Linked DNA regions of Drosophila melanogaster. The protein of the gene in region 4 interacts with the protein of the main gene of each other region in a pairwise test. Each region holds a gene or a part of one and is shown on either strand. Other genes may lie near its edges. The genes, in order: Golgin84, SNF4Agamma, CG9106 and CG17162.

Region 1 (4,731 bases), on a different chromosome or scaffold from region 4:
TATTATATTTCCTTGACAGTTTCCGCTGCGAGATCGTTATGGAGTGGATGTGACGCCACTAAGTTTCATACCTGGTGGTCGTATAGATAAATATTTGGGCAACCTAAACTTTTTCTTTATTCGGGAGAGCACGTCGATCCGGGAAAATGGTGGCATCAGCGGATTTGTCCATGGCTTCATTACCGAACTGTTGGCTGTGGTGAGAGCACACATCGCTTCGCTGGGCGGAAATGCCATGGTCTCTTTTTACATCACCGAACTTATGTTGTTCGATAATCAGCACAAGAATCAGGTAAGGCAAACACAATGATCTACTTACCTTAAAGTTTTTATACTGAAATCTTGTATTCTTAGGGCCAGTGCCTGATTAGCATCGGAGGCGATGCTGTCTATGTGAGCTACCATGCCGATGACTGATATAAAAACTTGCGGGGCATATAGCGCATGTTTTACGCGAATCGTCCCAAAAGCGTATACTCTCTATTTTCTTCCGCTTAGCTAGAACTATCAGCTCTGCCCAGCAACTGGAGTTAAACTGAAGTTAAACTAATTCACGTTTACTTAACAATTTTACAGCATCTGTAGATGGATTCTTTATGCAATATTTGAACTGTGAGGAATCGTTCTAATCCTAACTTAGTAGTGCTAATTTTTTCGGTCTTGTTACTTGTTTGCTGGATGTTTTTAGCGTTAAATCAATTGCAATTTCTGTACATAGTTGATGTTTATTGAATATTGAATTTAGAACGAGTGCGAGACACAAGTATAATATCGATATATACAATTGTTGCAACCACAAACATGACACATATACTCGTACCACTAGATATCCAATTTTGGCGCGTAAAATACAATACATACAATATTATGGAAATACAACAATTGCTCAACTAAATGTATTTGATTCGATTAGTTTGGTGTAGTGGAGAGCAGCACAAACATGACCCACAGATGTAGTAGGGCCACGTAGACGATCACAGAGACCCGCATCATGGGATAGCGACGCAGAAACGTTCCCACCCGAATACCCATGGAGTCCGCCTGGCGAAGGGCTCGCTTGAAGCGTCGTGCCACACGATTATCGAATGGACTTGGATGCATGAGAAGCGGGAATTGTGCTTTGACTAGGTAGAACTCATATTTATGTAATTTCTGGTACTCGCAGAATGTTAGACTTACCATCATCTGTGCTGTTGAGCATAGTATGGCGGGAGCTGCCCCTTTGGCTCTCCATTTCCACCAAGTGCATGTTTTGCTGTAGCTGCGTCTGTGCCTTTTCGTGCTGTAGTCGCAGGGCATTTCTCTCACTCGTAACTCTTTCCAGAAGACTTTGACGTTCGACCAGTGATTGGGTTAAAGCCTTTAGCCGAGTCTCGTAATCGCTCTTGGCTCCCGTGTTGGCTTCCTCGCTCAATCGCTGACGCATCTGCTGAAGCTGCTGCTCCCGCTCCTGGAGTCGAGTGGCGGCAGCAGCCATTTGGTTACTAAGTTGCTGCCGCAGTGAGGCCAGTTCCTGCGTGAGCACTCGCTGATCGGATTCGGAGGTCACACTGTGTTCCCTTGCCTGTCGCAACTCCTTTGCTAGTGTTTCCTCGCGTTGGCGGGCAGAGCTTAGTTCCACCTGTCGTTGTCTTTCCTGGGAAACGTAATCGTCCAGCTGCAAGCGCGCCTTTTGCAGTTCCTCGTTGGCATGCTCTAGTTCTTGCTTAAGTGACTCGTGTTCAATTTGCAGAAAACGCGTTTCACTGTCCTTGGACACCAGGTTTGGATCTGCGCCCTCCTCCGTGGGCTTCGCCTTCAACTCTGCGATGAGGGAATCCTTTGCTTGCAGAGCTCGCTGAGCCTTGATACGGTATTCCTGAAGCTCCTGGCGCTGCTGCTCCGTTTCCTTTGTTTGCATTTGCAATTTGTGAGCGGCGCTTATGTATTCCTGCTGCAACTTGGCCAGATTGGTTTCCAGTTCGGAGATGGAGTGCACATACGCCATGTTAGCTGCCTGGGCCTCATTGTAGTCATGAACCGCCTTGTCCCGCTCTTCGGACAGACTTTTAACCAGAGCTTCCAGCACCTGGGTGTGTTGATGCAGATCAAACTTTTCGGTTTCGTTATTAAGATCTTCCAAGCGCAGACGCAGTTCATCTCTTTCGGCCGTGATTTCATTCAGGGCGATCTTGAAGGCAGCCAATTCATTTGTGTCCATTGAGTTGGCGGATATGTCGGGACTGTTGGAGAAACTGGCCGACGTGGTCATCTTTTGGCGCATGTCCTTAGTGACCACGGAGACCCCGCCATCGCTTTTTACACTTGATGAGCTATTGGCCCCCGAGCGCCGCACTGGCGACAGAGTGGACTTCAGGGATGTGGACAGTGATTGGGTGCTGCTCGTCATGCTCCTACGCATGGGATCCGCTGAACCTGTGGCGTTCTCTGTCTGCAGGGCCGTTGCCGCATTTTGGTCCAGCTTGTTCAAAATGTTTTCGGCCTTGTCCGCCAGTCCTGTGATCCAGGATGACATATTTTTCTAAGAAAAACAAATCTCTTCGAGTAAAACACGTAAACAATATCACACTGTGTGCCCATATCGCTATCGACTGCGGAATGGTCAACTCCAAAGTTAAGGTCACTCTAAAAGTAACGTAATTTTGAAAAACCTTTTTTCTGATCAAAAAAATATTTATATGAAAATGTAAGGATTGGTTTTAGAAATAAATGTAATTCCAATCTTTCTTATCCGTGCAGAAATGTTAATTTATTATGCTTATCAAAACTCTAGGGTACAAATGAATATTTTATTCAATACTCAACATGGGCAGTGTAATCTTCGCAACTCACAACTATAAACTATCTCTTCACTTTCCAATGCAAAAGTCCTTGAAGACCACGTCGAGTATATCTTCGCAGCTGATGTGTCCGGTGATGCGTTCGATGCAGCGCACGGAGTTGCGCAGCTTGGAGGCGGCTATGGCCATGTCCGGGTAAACGTCGGGTCTGTAATCTCGTAGAAAAATATCAATGTTCTCAATGCAGCGCTCCAGTTGCTGACGGTAGCGTGTGTTTGTGATGCGTGGATTCTCCGCCCGCGGTTCTCCGCACAGTTCTTGCAGCTGCTTCTCCAGTGATCCCAGAAACACGGGCATCTTATCGGGCTTATGGCATGATATGGCTAACACGTTGGACAGCTTGTCCAGCTGCTGATGCTCCTCATCCGTCAAAGTGTCGGTTTTATTGGCCACCAATTGCAGACGTTTCCCTGAGCACATGTCCAGAGGTATATCCAACTCGCCCAGATAGCTATCTACAAACGGAGCAACTGCGTCGTCGTGCGTCAGCTGTGCAATGTTCTTGGCTTCTGCTAGGAGCAATATCAAATCAGATTGGACTAGACAATTCTTGGCTCTCTGCATTCCCTCCTGCTCTATACTATCCGTAGTATATCGGCGTAATCCGGCTGTGTCGGAAAATACCACCGGGTATCCTCCGAAATTGTGCATTGTTTCTATAATATCCCTTGTGGTGCCCGCCTGATCCGTCACTATGGACACGGATCGCTGGCAGAGGAGATTGAGCAGACTACTCTTGCCAACATTGGGTGCTCCAATGATCACAGTGCGGACTCCGTCGCGGAGGAGCTCTCCCTGCCGCTGGTCACTCAAATGCTCGCGAATCTCACGCTTTACCGCCTTTAGTTCTTTGCCGAGTTGCAGGATGATGCCGCCTTCGATTTGCTCCTCTTCGGCGAAGTCTATGTAGGCCTCCAAATGGGCAGCACAGCGAATAAGTCGACGGCGCCAGTTGTCGTAGAGTCGAGCCAGTGCTCCAGTGCTTTGTAGCAGTGCCTGGAGAAAGAAGAGACTTGAAACAAAATTTATGAGACCCTAAGTCCACTGTCTACCTGCTTTCTTTGCGCCTCCGTTTCAGCATGGATAAGATCGGCCAATCCCTCCACCTCTGTCAAATCCAGTTTGCCACCAAAGAACGCTCTCTTTGTGAACTCTCCCGGCTCCGCCGGCCGCAATCCATCCACTTTTCCCAGAGCATCCAACATGGCCGCAATGACTGCCAGGGACCCGTGTACCTGAAACTCGCAGGAATCCTCGCCAGTGAAAGAAGCCGGTCCCGGAAACCAAAGTAAGAGCCCACGGTCAATCATCTCTTTGCTGGCGGGATGGTAGAAGGATTTCAGATACGCCTGACGAGCCTATATGGAAAAGTATTTATAAAGGGAACTATAAGTTTCACTATCATAGAGGTCTCTCGTCTTAAAACCTGGCAGCTTGCCAATTATAACAAATTAAGCAGTTCACGAAATTATTCAATTTATTTAGTCAATTATATGTAAGTTAGGAGAAATTTGTTTATTTTTATACAGGATACATCTCCCAAAATGTATATAAATAAGCAACAGGTCTTTTCATTTGCATACATATATTTTGGATACTAGAAAACAAAACTATACACTGCACAGGTCACGACCCCTCATATATGGAATAATAAACGTTTATATCGATTGACTTGCCTTTGGCTCGTATTCTTTGTTTGCAACAATTGCTCGGAGGGCCTTCTTTGTTTGCGGCCCGGAGACACGGATCACGGACACACCGCACTTGACATGACCGGAACTGAGGCTGTAGATGGTGCATCCGCTGCTGGCAAAGCGCCGGAAACTGCCCAAGAAGCTCTGGGACGCGTTTCTGAGAAGCGCCATCGCCGAAAAACAATTAAATCCCAACC
Region 2 (5,188 bases), on a different chromosome or scaffold from region 4:
AATTTGACGGAAATCGATCCATCCGCGTTCCCCACGCTCACGCAACTAACGCACTTCTATATTCATGGAAATAACTGGAACTGCTTCAGCCTGAGAAACATAATGGATGTGCTCATTCGTGCCAATGGCATTGCCTATACCGTGGATAACTACGATCCCGATTTTCCGGGGGAATACTTTCACGGAATAGCCTGCATGTATCGCTTGCCCGAAAAAGAGGGTGTGGACTCCTCCTCCTCTTCGGAAATCTCCGCCAGCGTAGAGTCCTCGCCCATAACAAGTAGTTCTGATCCCAGCGAGGTGGACAAACTGCGCGATGAACTGAAAGCAGTGGTGCAGCACTTTGATTCCAAGTTCGATTTGATATTCAGTAAACTGGCCCAATTGAATGAACAAATTCAGGCCTTTGAAGTGCTCAACAAAACTGTTTGGAGTCAAGTGACCTTGTCCGTTTGAAGTTGTTAAATATGGCCCATTTTTTATGTGATCACTACATTTTCAAAGCTTTACAATTATATGTATACATTATAATTAATATTTGAAGTATTTCCTAAAGCTTCTTAATTTTAAACATAAAATCTTTCGATCCAATAAATAAATCATTTTTTAAATTGTTGGAAGAATTCCACTAAAGAATTCGCGTGTATGTTTTTTTTACCAGTTCTTGATAATATACAAAGTTGGAACCATAATCTAACAAAACAGGAAGGCTTTTCGTCTTTGTTTAAGATTTAGTTTCCTAGAATATCATTTTTTTCTACGCCTATTCAATTCCTAATCTCGAAAACAATTTCTGCTCCATTTCCCTGCTGATTTTGCATACTCAACCCCAAAAAACCAATACAATTTGCAACATGAGCACATCTAGTAAATATTTATTGCTCGCTGTGTCGTATACGTAGAATAATATTTAAACAATAATATTGATTTTCGAGCAAAGCAAAGTTGGGTTCTTTTTCTGAAAGATATTGAAAGAGGTTCGTTCAACTCGGGCTGGCGAACCAAAATGGAAAAACGAGAAGAAAACTGGAGGGCGAAGACAAGATGGTGGGGCTCGGGGAACTTGAGTTGAATTGAACAAAGTCAAGTCAATTACAAAACCAATATTTTCGGAAACTAAACAACAATATTGAATTCGATCGAATGGACCAGAAACCGAGTTATTTTATTGCCATCTGCTAATGCGAACAGTTTTAATTATTTATGCTTTATCCCTTCTATTCGCTTACTCGCACATTTATGGCTAACTAATTGCTAAGATAAACAAACAGTTTCGATTTCAGTGCAGCCACTTCGTAAGGACGGAAAGTAGAAACAAATCCAATTTCACGGATCTCGACGATCACTGGTCGATCTGCTGATCCGGAGTATCGTGTGCATGTGATTAGGAATAAATCCATACATACATATGTATATCCATTCGAACACGAGTTTCAAATACGTTTTGTTTACATTGGCAGTGCAATTTTTGTTTTAAGGTAATTGGCGGCACACAAATCGTGGCAGCTGTAAGTGCGAACATTCAATTTTACCATATAGTGCGACTGACTATCTGCGACTTCTAGTAGTTGTATCCGCAGATCAAAGTTCGACATTTCCTGATTGCCAACTTCAGTAGCTATCTTTTTTTAATTTCTGGGCATTCGCTTGAAGTGTGCTTACTTAATTAGTCAATGTCTAAAATGTAGTAGGCATCGTGATAGGGTACTTTTACATTTAAAGAAATCCACTCACGATTTTATAACCATAACTTCAAATGAGTTTCGACAAAAAAAAGTCGTATGAAGAATTCAGGTAAGACCCTTTGAATTGTTTTATGTTATTATATTTTACATTGCCTGATTTAATACTGTTATTCCTGTTATTGATACTGTTATACACTATCTATTACATAATTGATCGCTTTTATTAAATGTTTTCTAAATATAAAAAAATTTAATAAAATTGTTTACACATTCTGAAAATCTAATTATGAAAAAATTTTGGGCGATTTTGGGTATTTTCCCAGCGTCGCCGCGAACTGGGGGAATTTCCCACCCACTCAACTTAGTCACCGACACAAAAGGCAGATGAAAAGTTTCGGGGAAAATCAAACGTCAAGCGCTCATATCAACACAAAAAGAAAATAAAGGCAGTGAAGTAAATCAGGTTTTCGATAATTATAAAAAGAAAATAAATTGTCACCCACCTTTTGTGTGTTTTTATCAGTAATTGGATGTTTCTGATTCGCGCTGGCAGATTGCAGAATCACAATTGTCGAATTTCGGTTAAAAAATTAATTTCACGGACACAGGAACGCATACACACATCCGCACATTCACGTACACACTAACACACATTCACGTTCACCTGAACGGGTGGAAAACAAAACTTTTGTAAACAATTTCGCGATTAGGCATTTAGCTGCGCTAAGAAATTATTGTAAATAAGAAGAGACGTAACGAATTAGCTGGTTGTGTTGGCGCATTATATGTTATATATATGTTATGAGTGTATATTCAGAGATTAGAGCGAAATTATAATGACGACTTTTCGCTGGATGTCCAAACACTTTCGAGGTGTTGACTTTTCAGATTAGATTACAGCACTCATTTCACTCGGCTAATTATCAGCCATTTGGTTCAACACCAAATAAATCACAAAACACGAAAACACCAGCAACAACAACCGAATCGATCTTAATAAAAGCAAAGAATGCGAGCCATAAAAATCAAGAATCAAAATGAAAATTTATTCGGGCGCGCGCTTCCACTTTGGACTCGACTTTCCAATTGGAACACGCAGTGATCGGACAATGGAAGGGGTGAGAAGAAGAAGAGGAGCAGCAGGACGTTGTTGTGTTTGCCACTTTTTATTAAGAATCTAAACCATTACTGCGCGAAACACAGCTAGAAACTGACACAAGGAACAAAAACAGAAGAATAGCAAATCTGGGCAAATAAAAGTATTTGTCCGTGGAAAATTTCCAAAACGTTTCTGTCGCTCTTTCCAGCGACGCCATGTGTTTGTTTGTATGCGTAACAGCTGATCGCCGATTATTGATTTTTTATAGGGATGTACATATGCACACATGTGTGTGTATGCATGGGCAGGAAAAGTGATTAGAGGCTATTGTTTTGTGTAACAAGAAAGAAGTTTCACAATTCACTTGCGCACTCAAAAGAACAAAGATCGATTGTCCGTTGTTGCCGTTGTTGTCACTGCAATTTCTGCAATCCATTCGCGCACAATTAAAAGCTGTTCACGCAGCTTATCACAGAAGAATTTTATGGCTAAGCCACCCACTGGCGCGGACATGCTATCCTGACACCATGCCGGAATTTTCTCTCAATTAAATTATTTATTATAAATTAGTAAGAATTTAAGAACATTTAATTTGCTTTGTTTTTCACTGCACTCCCGTTTTTTAACGCGAATTAAAAGTTTTTCCCAACCTCGTAATCCGCTGCGTTTTCACCAAGCAAAGTTCGCAACCTAACTCACGATTGTGGTCATCGTTATCGTTTGCGAAATCCAGCAGAAAAGGTCTTACTCTTCGCCTATCGTTATCGCTAGAGATCTTTTTACAATCCAGTTGGAATTAGCGTGACCACAACTGTAACGTTGTTTTAGTATTTTTCTATAACTCGTTGTTTGCAATTTTACTGAAATATGTGCATTTAAATAGTAAATTCTTAAGTGCCCACTCGCGTAAGTAAATACGCACATATATCTACTTATTTATTCAATAAACAAGAATCATTGAGAATTCTTTAGTTGCGTAGAAGTTATTTTAAATAAAATGCGCTTTGCTACTTTCCGGCGGCGGTCACACTTAAAAAACAACGCGTTGCCAGATCGGACCGTGTTCGCAATAGCAATCAGTTTTTGTCATGCACCGCCGCTTTAGGCGCCAAAATGATATAAGTTTGAATTGCAAAAATTGCTCCGCTCTGTAAATCACGCCGAACATACAAAATAGAAAACATTTTAGCTATAAAAAAAACTTTAGCTTTTATAAAAAAAGCTATAAAAGCTATAAAAAAAACTTTAGCTAGCTTTAGCTAAAAAAAATTAAACTTATGTACATAAGCATATTCCTATTTCCATCATAGTGCTGGAAATTAGATTTTATGCCCCATAAATAATCATAACCAGTTGCCTTGGCATGCCTTTCACACTTTCGGAGCCCACCCAAACTCTTTGAAACTTCAGCTAAGCCAACAAAAATCAATAAAAATGGCGCATTGCACAGAGGCCACCGAGGAGCACACAATGACGCCACCAGAAACAGCAAAATACTTGAAATCGGAGTCGATGAATTTGCCACCATTCACGAACTTCATTTAGACCATTCCAAATAGGTCCAAGGACGCAATAAATACATTTGAAGTACTCTCGAAAATAAGTTTCCTCGATGCTCAGGGTTTTTTGCTAGCTCGATCAATCAATCCCAGCCGAGGAACTGGGAACACTCACCTGCTCGATGTCGAAGTCCCATTCGGGCGATGGAGAACGCGCTGTTCGGCCGCCCGGCGGAGGCGTTCCCAATGCGGGGGAACCGGCTTGGGGCTCTTCGGGAATCACGGCGAAGCGACCCCGCTGGAGGATTGGCGAAATGGCGCCATAATTAGCTGCAAAGGCGAAAGAAGGGGTCAGTATTCAGCACCATGCATTTATTATCGAGAATTTGACCAAAAGATATCAATTACTATTAGCATAACTGTAATGATTAATGTCGTATACTTTATATAAACTCAAATTGTAAAGGCGAAAAAGTACCAAATCAACTTACACGTGGGCATGAGACGAAAGCGGCCGAGCGTCGTTTCGGGCGGGCCCTGTGGCGTGGAGGAGGTGACACGGAAGCGTCCTCGGCGGGCGGCGGCCACGTCCTCGTAGTTGCTGCCCCCCGACGCTCCGCCGGCACTGCTCTGCATCCTGTGGCTGATGCTTCCTTGTCGGCCTCGCCGAAAACTGCAATGGAGTGTGAGAAAAATCAAATCAATATTGCGCACAGGTGGCAAAGTTCTTGTTTCCTTTGACTAAAACAACTGAAACTCAATTAAGCCAATGGCATTAGAGTATATTGATCTTTGATGGAACTATATAAAACATTTTCCGTAAATTCTCTAATATAAAAAACTTAGCAAAACTTAGATATAAAGACGCTTTTATGAACACTAAAATTAACCAATCAAAACAATTA
Region 3 (4,413 bases), 7.8 Mb from region 4:
ATGGGTCCTGTTTATCCATGCCCCAGCTCCTTGCCGTGTCCTGGCACGGTGTCACCAGCCAGCCAGCCAGCCAACTGAACAACCAACAAGCCGCTGACAGATGGAGCGTCATAAAAGCGGCAACAACAATGCGCCGCAGAATGTCTGAGGTTAGGAATAGCGGCAAAGTGGTGGGGCGGAAATGGGAAATGGAAAAGCCGAGACAAGACCAACCAACCAACCAACCAACCAACCGACCGACCGACCAAGCGAGCGAAAAGGGAGTGTAAAGCGGTGACGGGGATTTGAATTTGTCACGTGGCCGGCAAACGCACCTGGGCACAAAGGGGCGGACAAGGACACAACATGCAATTATACGCAATCAACATAAATCATTCAAATTGCCACGCACACACACACACTCGCAGAAGAGGGAAAAATAATGGTAAAGAAAAGTCGAGACGCACTTCAAAAGGGGGCGGCTGTCGGTGTGGGCGTGGTGACCGTTGACGTTGGCTTTTGGCTAATTTGCAATTGAAATGCCCAAATTCTGTGGGCTGGCCGCATTACGCATACGCCGTGTGGTGTCTGCGTGGCAAAGGCTCCTTAAACTTCCGCTCAGTCCATTCATCTTCCACCCCCGCATTCCGAGTCGACTGACAAATGCCACAGGGGCACGTGAAGCGGCCAGTGACCAAGGTAAATGGCACCCATACTGTCCATAGAGATTTCTTTATAAATTTCCTTTATTTTATTATTATTTTTTTTTATTTTTTGCAATTAATTACGGAATAACCTTGCAGATTCGTATACTATTTCTAGTAATTGCTGCCTTCGGAAAAATCACTTAACGCCAGGAACTTAAAATTTAGAGCAGGGAATGTAGCAAGAAAAAACAATCGACGTTATATTGCCAATGCCACGTATTTGGCGAATACTGAATTCCTAGATTTTGCCAACAGTGCCAAAGTTCAAATGACAGTTGCCATGGTCCAGCTTATAAACCGTACAAGCCAAACGGAGCTAATCAAGAATCCATCAAAACCATCGTCCATGTGCGGTACACTGCAATCGCTTCAACGAAGAATCTGGTTTATGCATCACCATCAGTCGAACAGAACGTCCATCGGTATGCCATAAATCTCGGCCAGCTGCAGTTTGGTGTAGGCAACAACGCCGCTGGGACAGTAGGCCATCGCCTCCTCCAGAGTGACCCACTTGGAGCTTGACTCACCGGCACATACCACATGCAGATAGACGATACCATCGAACATCTCATGGCTGATGATGCCCATCAGGTTGCTGGGGGTGCCGCTACTGACGTTTCCGGCGGTGTTGCCACTACCGTTACCATCACCGTTACCGTTACCGTTTCCGCTTCCGCTTCCGTTTCCGCCAATGATGTTGCCGCTCTGGCTCCCAGCGCTGCTCATTCCATCGCCGTTGCCACCGTCGCTGCCGCCACCGCTGCCGCCACCCACGCTGCTACCGCTGGCATTGGCGTTCGAAGAGGTGGACGGATTCAGATTGATGACCATCCTGGAAGGGCAGCGGTTCGGGATATCTATGAGGCAAATATCGAATGCAGCCAATTAACTGAGTGTATTTATAATTATTTGGATCTAGTAAGCCGAAAAGTATTTCTTATATATATTTAACAACAATACTTATATTATAAGTGATAATTAACTCACCTGAATATAAAACTATCAAAAGTGGAAAAGAAATCGGATTGGAAGCAGTTATCAAAGTGGCTCAATACTGAAGCTTCGTTGCTGGTTGCTACCTTTGGCCTTCTGGACGGGATGGTCCGTGGTTGGATTCTCGGTTAGTCCTTCGGAAACCGTAAACTTTGAACTTTGAACCTACGAATTTTGTACTTTGCTCGGTGCGATCCAATGAGACTCTGGTGCAGTGATGTGCTGCTTAGGGATCTGTTATACACTTCTCGACGTTCAAGTCGCACGCGATTCTAGTGCAACTCTCTAATTAGCTAGATACAATACCAAGTTATGATTTTTGTTTCGCTGTTTGATTCTTTTTTTTTTCGATTTTCCTCTATTTTTTTTCACTTTTGTTTAAACGGTGTGTGTGTATTTTGTGTCGATTGTGTGTGTTGACTACCTAGATGATTTTAACTTATGAAATGAGCCATGACATTAATCTGGCATTCTTTTCAAAGCCAGCTGGTACATTTTGTTTCGACGATGAAATGAGAGACACAAATATCGCGAATATTCAAGATTTTGGTAAATTAATAATTCTTATGGCTATTTCATTAATTCATGACACTGCACATTCTAAGTTAGACTTTAAAGTAAGTGCAGTAAGTGTACTATTTAAGTGCAAAAAGGCAAACAAAGTTTTCAAGGATTTTTTTTTTTAGTGTTTTCCTCAGAAAATCCCCATACCATTCACAATTTTTTGACATCGCCCGGCAACACGGGTGTTTATGAATGTGCCATATAATGTTTTGCTTCTGCCAGCAGCACCAAATGAACTGAACAAATAAAACTTTCACGGCAAAGTTGTTGACACGGCAGCCTCCTCCTCTTCCGATTTGCAGCTGCAATTCCTCACCTTCATGTTCACGCTTAGCTCTTTATTTACGATTGCAGGTGCAATGCGGGAAAAGTGCAGGAAAAGTATGGGAAAAGTGTGGGAAAAGTGTGGGAAAAGTGCGGGTGTGGGCGAGAGGAAAAGCAAAGTAAAAGCACCAGAGCTGAGTTTAAGTCGCGGGAGCAGGGGTCCCAAAGCAATTAAATCGCATTCGCCGTGTGGAAAGCAAATAGGATTCCGGGTGGGGCTTTGAATGTGGAGTCCGGACAGAGACAAACAATCAAACGGAAATTAATTGCGGTATGTGTGAAAAGTGAAAGCCAAAAGCTGTTCGGTAAATGATTGTCGAGCAGCGAGTTTTACCCCGGTTTCCCCACGACGACTTTAATTCTTAAACCCTGATTGATAGCTAACCTCGTCCTGGAGCAATGACTTCTGCTCTCCAGCTCTTCAGAATCGAAATGAAACCAAGATAGTATGCTGACATCCGAAAAGAAGTAAATTTTTACCACTGCATAGCCACACAAAGCGAAAACTTTTACACAGCAACCATGTAATAAAATAAGTCTTCAGAATTCGATGGGTAATCTTTTCAGCTGCTTTTTGGTCATTCAATATATGCTTTTCGTATTTAGAGGCATTTTGCTTACTCATTGAACTTATGTATGTGAAACACAGCAATTTTCCACACTTGTGTCATGGCATTGCCAAAAAGCGATAAGGGCGAAGGGTCGAAGTTTAATTAATACACCATTACGTGCTGTTTTTGGCCAACAATGGGTGGGTAAGCTTACCATTCGTTTTGAGATGCGTTGCAGCCCAATTTTGTCAACGTGGCCATAGCTGTATCCACATCCGGATCCGGTTCACAATGAGACGACGACTCATTGGACCGGCAGTGAGTTATATCAAAGACACTAGAATAACAAGATGCGTAACGGCCATACATTGGTTTGGCACTATGCAGCCACTTTTTTGGTGACGGCCAAAATTACTCTCTTTCCGCTCACTCCCGCTGAGAGCGTAAGAAACCTAAAAATATAATTTGCTTGCTTGTGTGAGTAAAAACAAGAGACGAGAACGCGTATAAGTGTGCGTGTTGTGCTAGAAGACGATTTTCGGGCCGAAATCAATTCTGATCGAAGAAACGAATTTACATGGTACATATTAGGGTAGTTTTTGCCAATTTCCTAGCAATATGATAAAATAAAAAAATTTTTTAAAATTCGCGCCCTGACTATTATAATTTTAAAGCTTTTTAAATTTGTTTGTTAAAATTGCCGCTCGAATTAGCTACCGTTTACACATTTATATTTATGTTTAATTCTAATTTTTCTCTCATCTGACAATTTTTTAAAAGCTAAATATTTTTTTTGAAACACTTTTAATGTTAATGTTACATCATATTAAGTCAAATGATTTAATAAATATACTAAATAATTAAATATGCAATTAAATGAAATTGCAAAAGTAATATCAAAGACAATAGAATTATTCTAGTGTCTTTGCTTTGTTCATATCTTGAGGCACGAAGTGCGGACACAAGCACTCAACAATCATTACCTTATTAATTTTTCACACGCCGCAAGATGAATACTCTAATGACAAATATTCTTATATAAAGTCATTTTTGAAATTTATTTTTGTGATAATATGTACATAGATTTGAGTATTTCTAATCTATTTTCAAATAATAATAACGTTAAGGCAATGCAAAACAAGAATTTTTCGCATGGTGCCAATTGATCAAAAATAATATAGATTTAAAGCCAAAGAACTTCTAAGGTGAAGGGCATATTTTTTCAAATTTACAATGCATGTGAATACGTGTGCACACATACAGATGTCTGCTATCACTTTGTGCGTTGAAAAGAG
Region 4 (5,602 bases):
CAAGTTGAGTTAACCGACGGTAACAGGAAAAAATCAGAACAAATTTCTGATGACGATTATCATTATAATTTCCATAAAATGAGTTATAAACAATAGAGAATGCGATAGTCGAGTTCCCCAGCTATCGTTACTCAGGTGGAACGACATATTTCAATATGTCTTTTAGAATATCGGCAGAAATTGGAAACCAAAATAATAAAATGGAAACTAATTTAAAAATTATTCCAATGTAGGCGTGACAGTTTTGGGTGGTTTGTGGGCGGTAGAGTGTGCGTGCCAAAATTTTTTTTTGCGAATTGGTAGATATGTACAAGACTTATAAAACCATGAAACAAATTTTTTTAGTTTTGGGCGGTTTGTGGGCGTTAGAGTGGTAATGGTTAATCTCAACATTCTAGCTTTTATAGTTCCTGAAACTGAAGCTATAAACGCTTTATTCTACCTGTTACATACTTTCCAACGAATCAACTATACCCTTTTACTCTACAAGTATTTTTTATCTTTGTATTTTGTATTTCGATGTCGTAGAATTCAGAAATTTTTTGTATGCTCTTTTAATGCGGTATACATATACATATATATGTACAATATTCCTGATTAGGATCACTAGCCGAATTGATATGGTAAAGTCTGTCTGTCCGTAAGGGGGCTGTCACCTCGAAAACTTTAAAAGCTTTGAAGTTAAGATAATGTATGCATTTCTTTCCTTTTTTCTGATTTTCGAAACGTAACGTTTTAAACGTTTTAATCATTCGTTAATCAAACAGCAATTCATATAACAGAACGTTATATGAATTTTTGTTAAGTGTTCTAAATATTTTGGTAACACAGACAGGACGAAATGAATTTTCTATCTATTAAATAAATTGATATTTAAAGAAAGCAAATTAATTTAGAAATATATTGACAATTTCCAACTAATTTATCTCTGTTATGGAAAATTAGTTTAGGAAAAAAGTTAAAATAACAAAAGGAACCGCTATAGATTTTCTCCACTAGCGCCACTCAACTAAGGGGAGAACGAGGGAGAAACTTTGAAACTTGATTGTCATATCCATAAAATTGTTTAGAATAACAAGAGAGAATGCTATAGTCGAGTTGCCTGAATATCAGATACCCGTTAACCCAGATATTTTTCTGCGATACCAAAAGATGTTGGGGAATAAAATGAGAAAAAATTTCAACAATTTTCAAAAGTGGGGCGTGACCGGTTTGTCGGCTTAAGGGCGTCACAGTGGGTGTGGCAAACAGTTTTTTTTTGCACATCGATCGGAATTTACAAGACTAATAAAGATGTGAAAAAATATCAATATATTTTTCAAAAGAGTGCTTGTGGCATTTTTTCGTGGGCTTGTGGGCGTTGCAACATGGATCAACAAACTTGCGCTGCGTCTTTGTCTCTAGAATCTGCATGCTAAATCTCCGCCTTCCAGCTTTTATAGTTCCTGAGATCTCGACGTTCATACGGACAGACGGACATGGCTATATCGACTCGGCTATTGATCCGTTATACAGTCGGAAACGCTTCCTTCTGCGTGTTACATTCCTTTAAACGAATCTACGTTACTCTACGAGTAACGGGTATAATAACCAAATAAAAAAGTCTAAACATATTTAAAAAATTTGGTTGGCGTTCGAATGAGATGGTGGAGGTATTTTGGCAAAGCGATACAAAGTAGCAAAAAATCAAAAAATGCAATGAAAAATAATTATAACATTTCACAAAAGTGTGGGTGTGAACCTTTTGGGCGGTTTGCCGTCGTTAGGGTGTGCGAATATTTCAAAACTTGCCCACGTACCACTATGTGAAATTTTACCACTTTTTCTGCCCAAAATGAATAACTCCAGGACGTTGAAAGATATTCAGATTGGGTTACAATATATCCGTTCTGAAACCGCCCCTTATATTTGTTGTAGTTTGTAACTCTAGAACGGATAAAGATATTTAAATTTTTTTGCCATTATCTTTTATGATACCAAAAATTGTGGCCGTGGCACCGCCTCTTATATTTAATTAACTAATTTTGTATAGGTATTTCCCTAATTTCGTATGCTTTTTCTAGTCCAAGCAAAGAACAACTGATTTCGTGGTAGTGGTTGCATATTGAATTATTTTACAAAAAAGTAAACACAAACATAATAACAAATTAATGAATCAATTCACCAACAGGCATTTTTAACTCCCTTTTAGCTAAAATTACTCTGCATTTGAACAAGTAGGGTAAGGACCTAAAAACTATAATTTCTCCGAAAATCGCAAAGAATGCACTTTTTAATTACAACTATCTAAACAAGAATTAAATAAGCTACAAAATAAGGTATATTTCATGAATGAGTTTTGTTGCATTCGCTTTAAATCCCTTTTGAAAGTTAAGTTTTTATAACAAAAATATTTTAGTAAGACAACATACATTTTTACGGTATAAAGTCCCCTTAATACACGATTTTTTGATAGTTTTGATAGTCAAAAACACATAATACAAACCACATTGAATAAAACTAATTTTGCAGAATGAAAAAACGCTATGGCTCAAAAGATATATAAATATTTGTATCAAGGGAAAAACTTATCGTTGCAGACAAAATTTTTTTTGTGCTTGCAACACAGCTTAGAGAATGATTTCTTTGTTTATTTATTTCTGGTATGCAGGAATAAACATTGGCCAATATAACAGAGACAAAGCTAATGCATATGTGAGGGATACACACACACAGTGTTTGTTCTACTTTGAAACACAAAACCGCGTCAGTGTGACACACTTATTGCGCCTTAGCACACACACCCACAGAGGTATTAGGTAAGGGAGAGTGACCCAGGAACGGTAATAATTTCACTAACTTGTCGAAGTCTATAAACCGTAAATATACCGCTAGGACATCAACAACAGCTGTTGGCCTCTAGGTCTGCAATGATTGTGATGCTCTCCGGAAACACGCACATGTGTGTGTGTCTTGTCTACCTTGGCAGTTTAATAAATCGGTTTCAATGAATGATACTAATACTAGTTGCGAATTTAACTCGAATTATCTCTCGGCTAATAAATGCGCTTGGTTTCGTTTGATTGCCACTCCTGATTGTTTAGCGTTTGTTTTAAAACTTTTTTGACACTTACCCAATGTGACCGCATACTGGTACTGAATTAATATCGATAAATATACCAATCTATTTCTAGGGTTAGATTCTGGGTATTCCTTAAACTGTTAAATTGTGGGAATGTTGAACCCTCAACATGAAAAAGAAACAACAAAAGAAAAAATTAAATTTCAATAAAACATTTCTCTGTAAGTAAATTCTTAAAACAATTTAACACTACAGTTGCTGAAGAAAGGTGCGTTTCACTTTCTATTTCTTATAGCAAAAAATAAGTTCCGTTAACCTTGTTGAATTTTGTTATCACTTGGACTCGTGTCTAAAACATTTAAGAACAATCCATTGACTTAAATTATAATGTTTTCGTGTGTTTTCATAGTTATGTTTGTTCGAATACCACAATACCAAGAATACCTTTACCTCATATTATGTTATATTGTTTTAATGTATAATGTTATAGGGTAATCAGGAAAAATTCGTACCTAGTTACGCTACTAGGCATACAATTCCAGGCTTCCTAAAAATGCCTTTTTATTAAATATTACCTCTTTTACTTACTATTACATAGAACTTAAACGGTTCAAAGTATCTGTTAACAACCTTCACCTTAGCAACGTACAGAAAAATGTTTCAGTGGAAACAAGCTATAAAAAATATTGCTTCTGCTTGAATTCATTATTTACAGATTTAGTACCTTTAAAGTATGTTAAAACCATATATCTTTTTTATTTATAGTTTATAATCAGTGACCGCTGTACTACACATCCCAAATCTTGGGATTTTAATGGTAAGGCCCGCGATGTGATTGGCGATGACACTATCGCAGTTACATCCAATCAGTCGTCGATATCTAAGCAGCCGCATTGCAACTTCTAAAAGAATTCGGAAAAGCGGCATCCAAGCGTTGCTTTAGGTAATTGCGTAGCGAAAGTTCAACGGAAGAAAGGAACTTTCCCGGGCCAAGGAGCAGCGCAAGCAGGACTCAACGACAATTTGCAAAGACTATTAGCAATGTCTTCGGCCAGAGACCTTATCAAAGTCGACATAGTAAGTAAAACATTGGCTTTATTTGGATGGTAACAACATATTTTTACTTATCGATGACAAGGAATGGGGCATGGAGCGCCTGGTGCGAGCTCAGCAAGTGGTGGAGCTGCGGCCCTATGACATCGAGTCCTGGAGTGTCATGATCCGAGAGGCCCAAACGCGGCCAATCCACGAAGTACGCAGTCTTTACGAGTCGCTAGTTAATGTGTTTCCGACAACCGCTCGGTACTGGAAGCTATACATTGAGATGGAGATGCGCAGCCGGTACTATGAACGCGTGGAGAAACTTTTTCAACGCTGCCTAGTCAAGATTTTGAACATCGACCTCTGGAAGCTCTATCTTACCTACGTGAAGGAAACCAAGTCGGGTCTAAGTACTCACAAGTAACTGTTATACCTTATTTAAATAATTCACATAATTTGACATCTTAGAAACTATTATAATTTTAGTCAAAACTTGCAATGCAGCGAGCATATTGTTTTTTTTGATGCACAACATTTGTGTTATTCTGACACGCTTATTTTATTGGACTTATCTCTTTTCTCAGAGAAAAAATGGCCCAGGCTTATGATTTTGCACTGGAGAAAATCGGCATGGATCTACACTCGTTCAGCATCTGGCAGGATTACATATACTTTCTGCGGGGCGTTGAAGCAGTGGGCAACTATGCAGAGAACCAAAAGATCACAGCAGTGCGCCGCGTCTATCAAAAGGCTGTAGTCACACCTATCGTGGGCATCGAGCAGTTGTGGAAGGACTATATCGCATTCGAGCAAAACATAAACCCGATTATATCAGAGAAGATGAGTCTGGAGCGATCTAAGTGAGTGTTATACGCAGAGTTTGCTAAATGTTCTTTCTAAATTCCAACTTAAAACCAGGGATTACATGAACGCTCGTCGTGTTGCCAAAGAGTTGGAATACCACACAAAGGGTCTCAATCGCAATCTGCCAGCCGTCCCACCCACACTCACAAAAGAGGAGGTGAAGCAAGTGGAGCTGTGGAAGCGCTTTATCACGTATGAGAAGTCTAATCCCTTGCGCACTGAAGATACGGCCCTAGTAACCCGTCGTGTCATGTTCGCCACGGAGCAATGTTTGCTGGTGCTCACCCACCACCCGGCAGTGTGGCACCAGGCCTCCCAATTCCTGGACACCAGTGCTCGCGTGCTCACCGAAAAAGGCGTGCGTACTAGTGTTGAAAACATTTCACCTATTCTCTGCGTTCCTGTAGTGAATCAAATAGAGTGGGTTATGGCCTTTGCTTGGTGGTGGGCAAAGGTCAAAACCAAAAACGAATCAAATATAGTCTCTTGTTTGCTAAGAAGTGTCGCCCCTCGGGTAAAGGAGCACGCAGTGGCACAACACAGATGGCTTTCCGTGGCTTGCCCCGTTGCCCCTGGCCAGGCCGCACGCGTTTTACTCTTATAACTAAGTCGAACTTTTGTGTATTTACATGTTTA

What was found.
Region 1: the proteins of CG17162 (region 4) and Golgin84 interact in a two-hybrid assay, tested with the Drosophila melanogaster proteins (one large-scale study listed by BioGRID).
Region 2: the proteins of CG17162 (region 4) and SNF4Agamma interact in a two-hybrid assay, tested with the Drosophila melanogaster proteins (one large-scale study listed by BioGRID).
Region 3: the proteins of CG17162 (region 4) and CG9106 interact in a two-hybrid assay, tested with the Drosophila melanogaster proteins (one large-scale study listed by BioGRID).

What each region holds. Positions count from the first base shown.
Region 1 is NT_033777.3:24,355,362-24,360,092, forward strand, and holds Golgin84 (Golgin-84), read right to left. Parts: upstream 2,578-4,731; 5' UTR 2,516-2,577; coding exon 1,180-2,515; intron 1,125-1,179; coding exon 910-1,124; 3' UTR 709-909; downstream 1-708. Other genes in the region: CG6454 (uncharacterized protein), read left to right, coding at 20-292, 355-417; CG18528 (uncharacterized protein), read right to left, coding at 2,850-3,836, 3,893-4,198, 4,517-4,705. UniProt on the Drosophila melanogaster protein: May be involved in maintaining Golgi structure and in intra-Golgi transport.
Region 2 is NT_033777.3:21,154,658-21,159,845, reverse strand, and holds the start of SNF4Agamma (SNF4/AMP-activated protein kinase gamma subunit), read right to left. Parts: upstream 3,485-5,188; 5' UTR 3,435-3,484; intron 2,409-3,434; exon of another isoform or gene 2,350-2,408; 5' UTR 2,189-2,349; intron 609-2,188; exon of another isoform or gene 457-608; coding exon of another isoform or gene 1-456. Other genes in the region: cDIP (common Dpr-interacting protein), read left to right, coding at 1-456.
Region 3 is NC_004354.4:15,270,314-15,274,726, forward strand, and holds CG9106 (uncharacterized protein), read right to left. Parts: upstream 2,093-4,413; 5' UTR 1,674-2,092; intron 1,602-1,673; 5' UTR 1,518-1,601; coding exon 1,086-1,517; 3' UTR 723-1,085; downstream 1-722.
Region 4 is NC_004354.4:23,093,594-23,099,195, forward strand, and holds the start of CG17162 (uncharacterized protein), read right to left. Parts: upstream 3,142-5,602; 5' UTR 2,840-3,141; intron 17-2,839; exon of another isoform or gene 1-16. Other genes in the region: su(f) (suppressor of forked), read left to right, coding at 4,103-4,138, 4,200-4,522, 4,687-4,962, 5,021-5,420.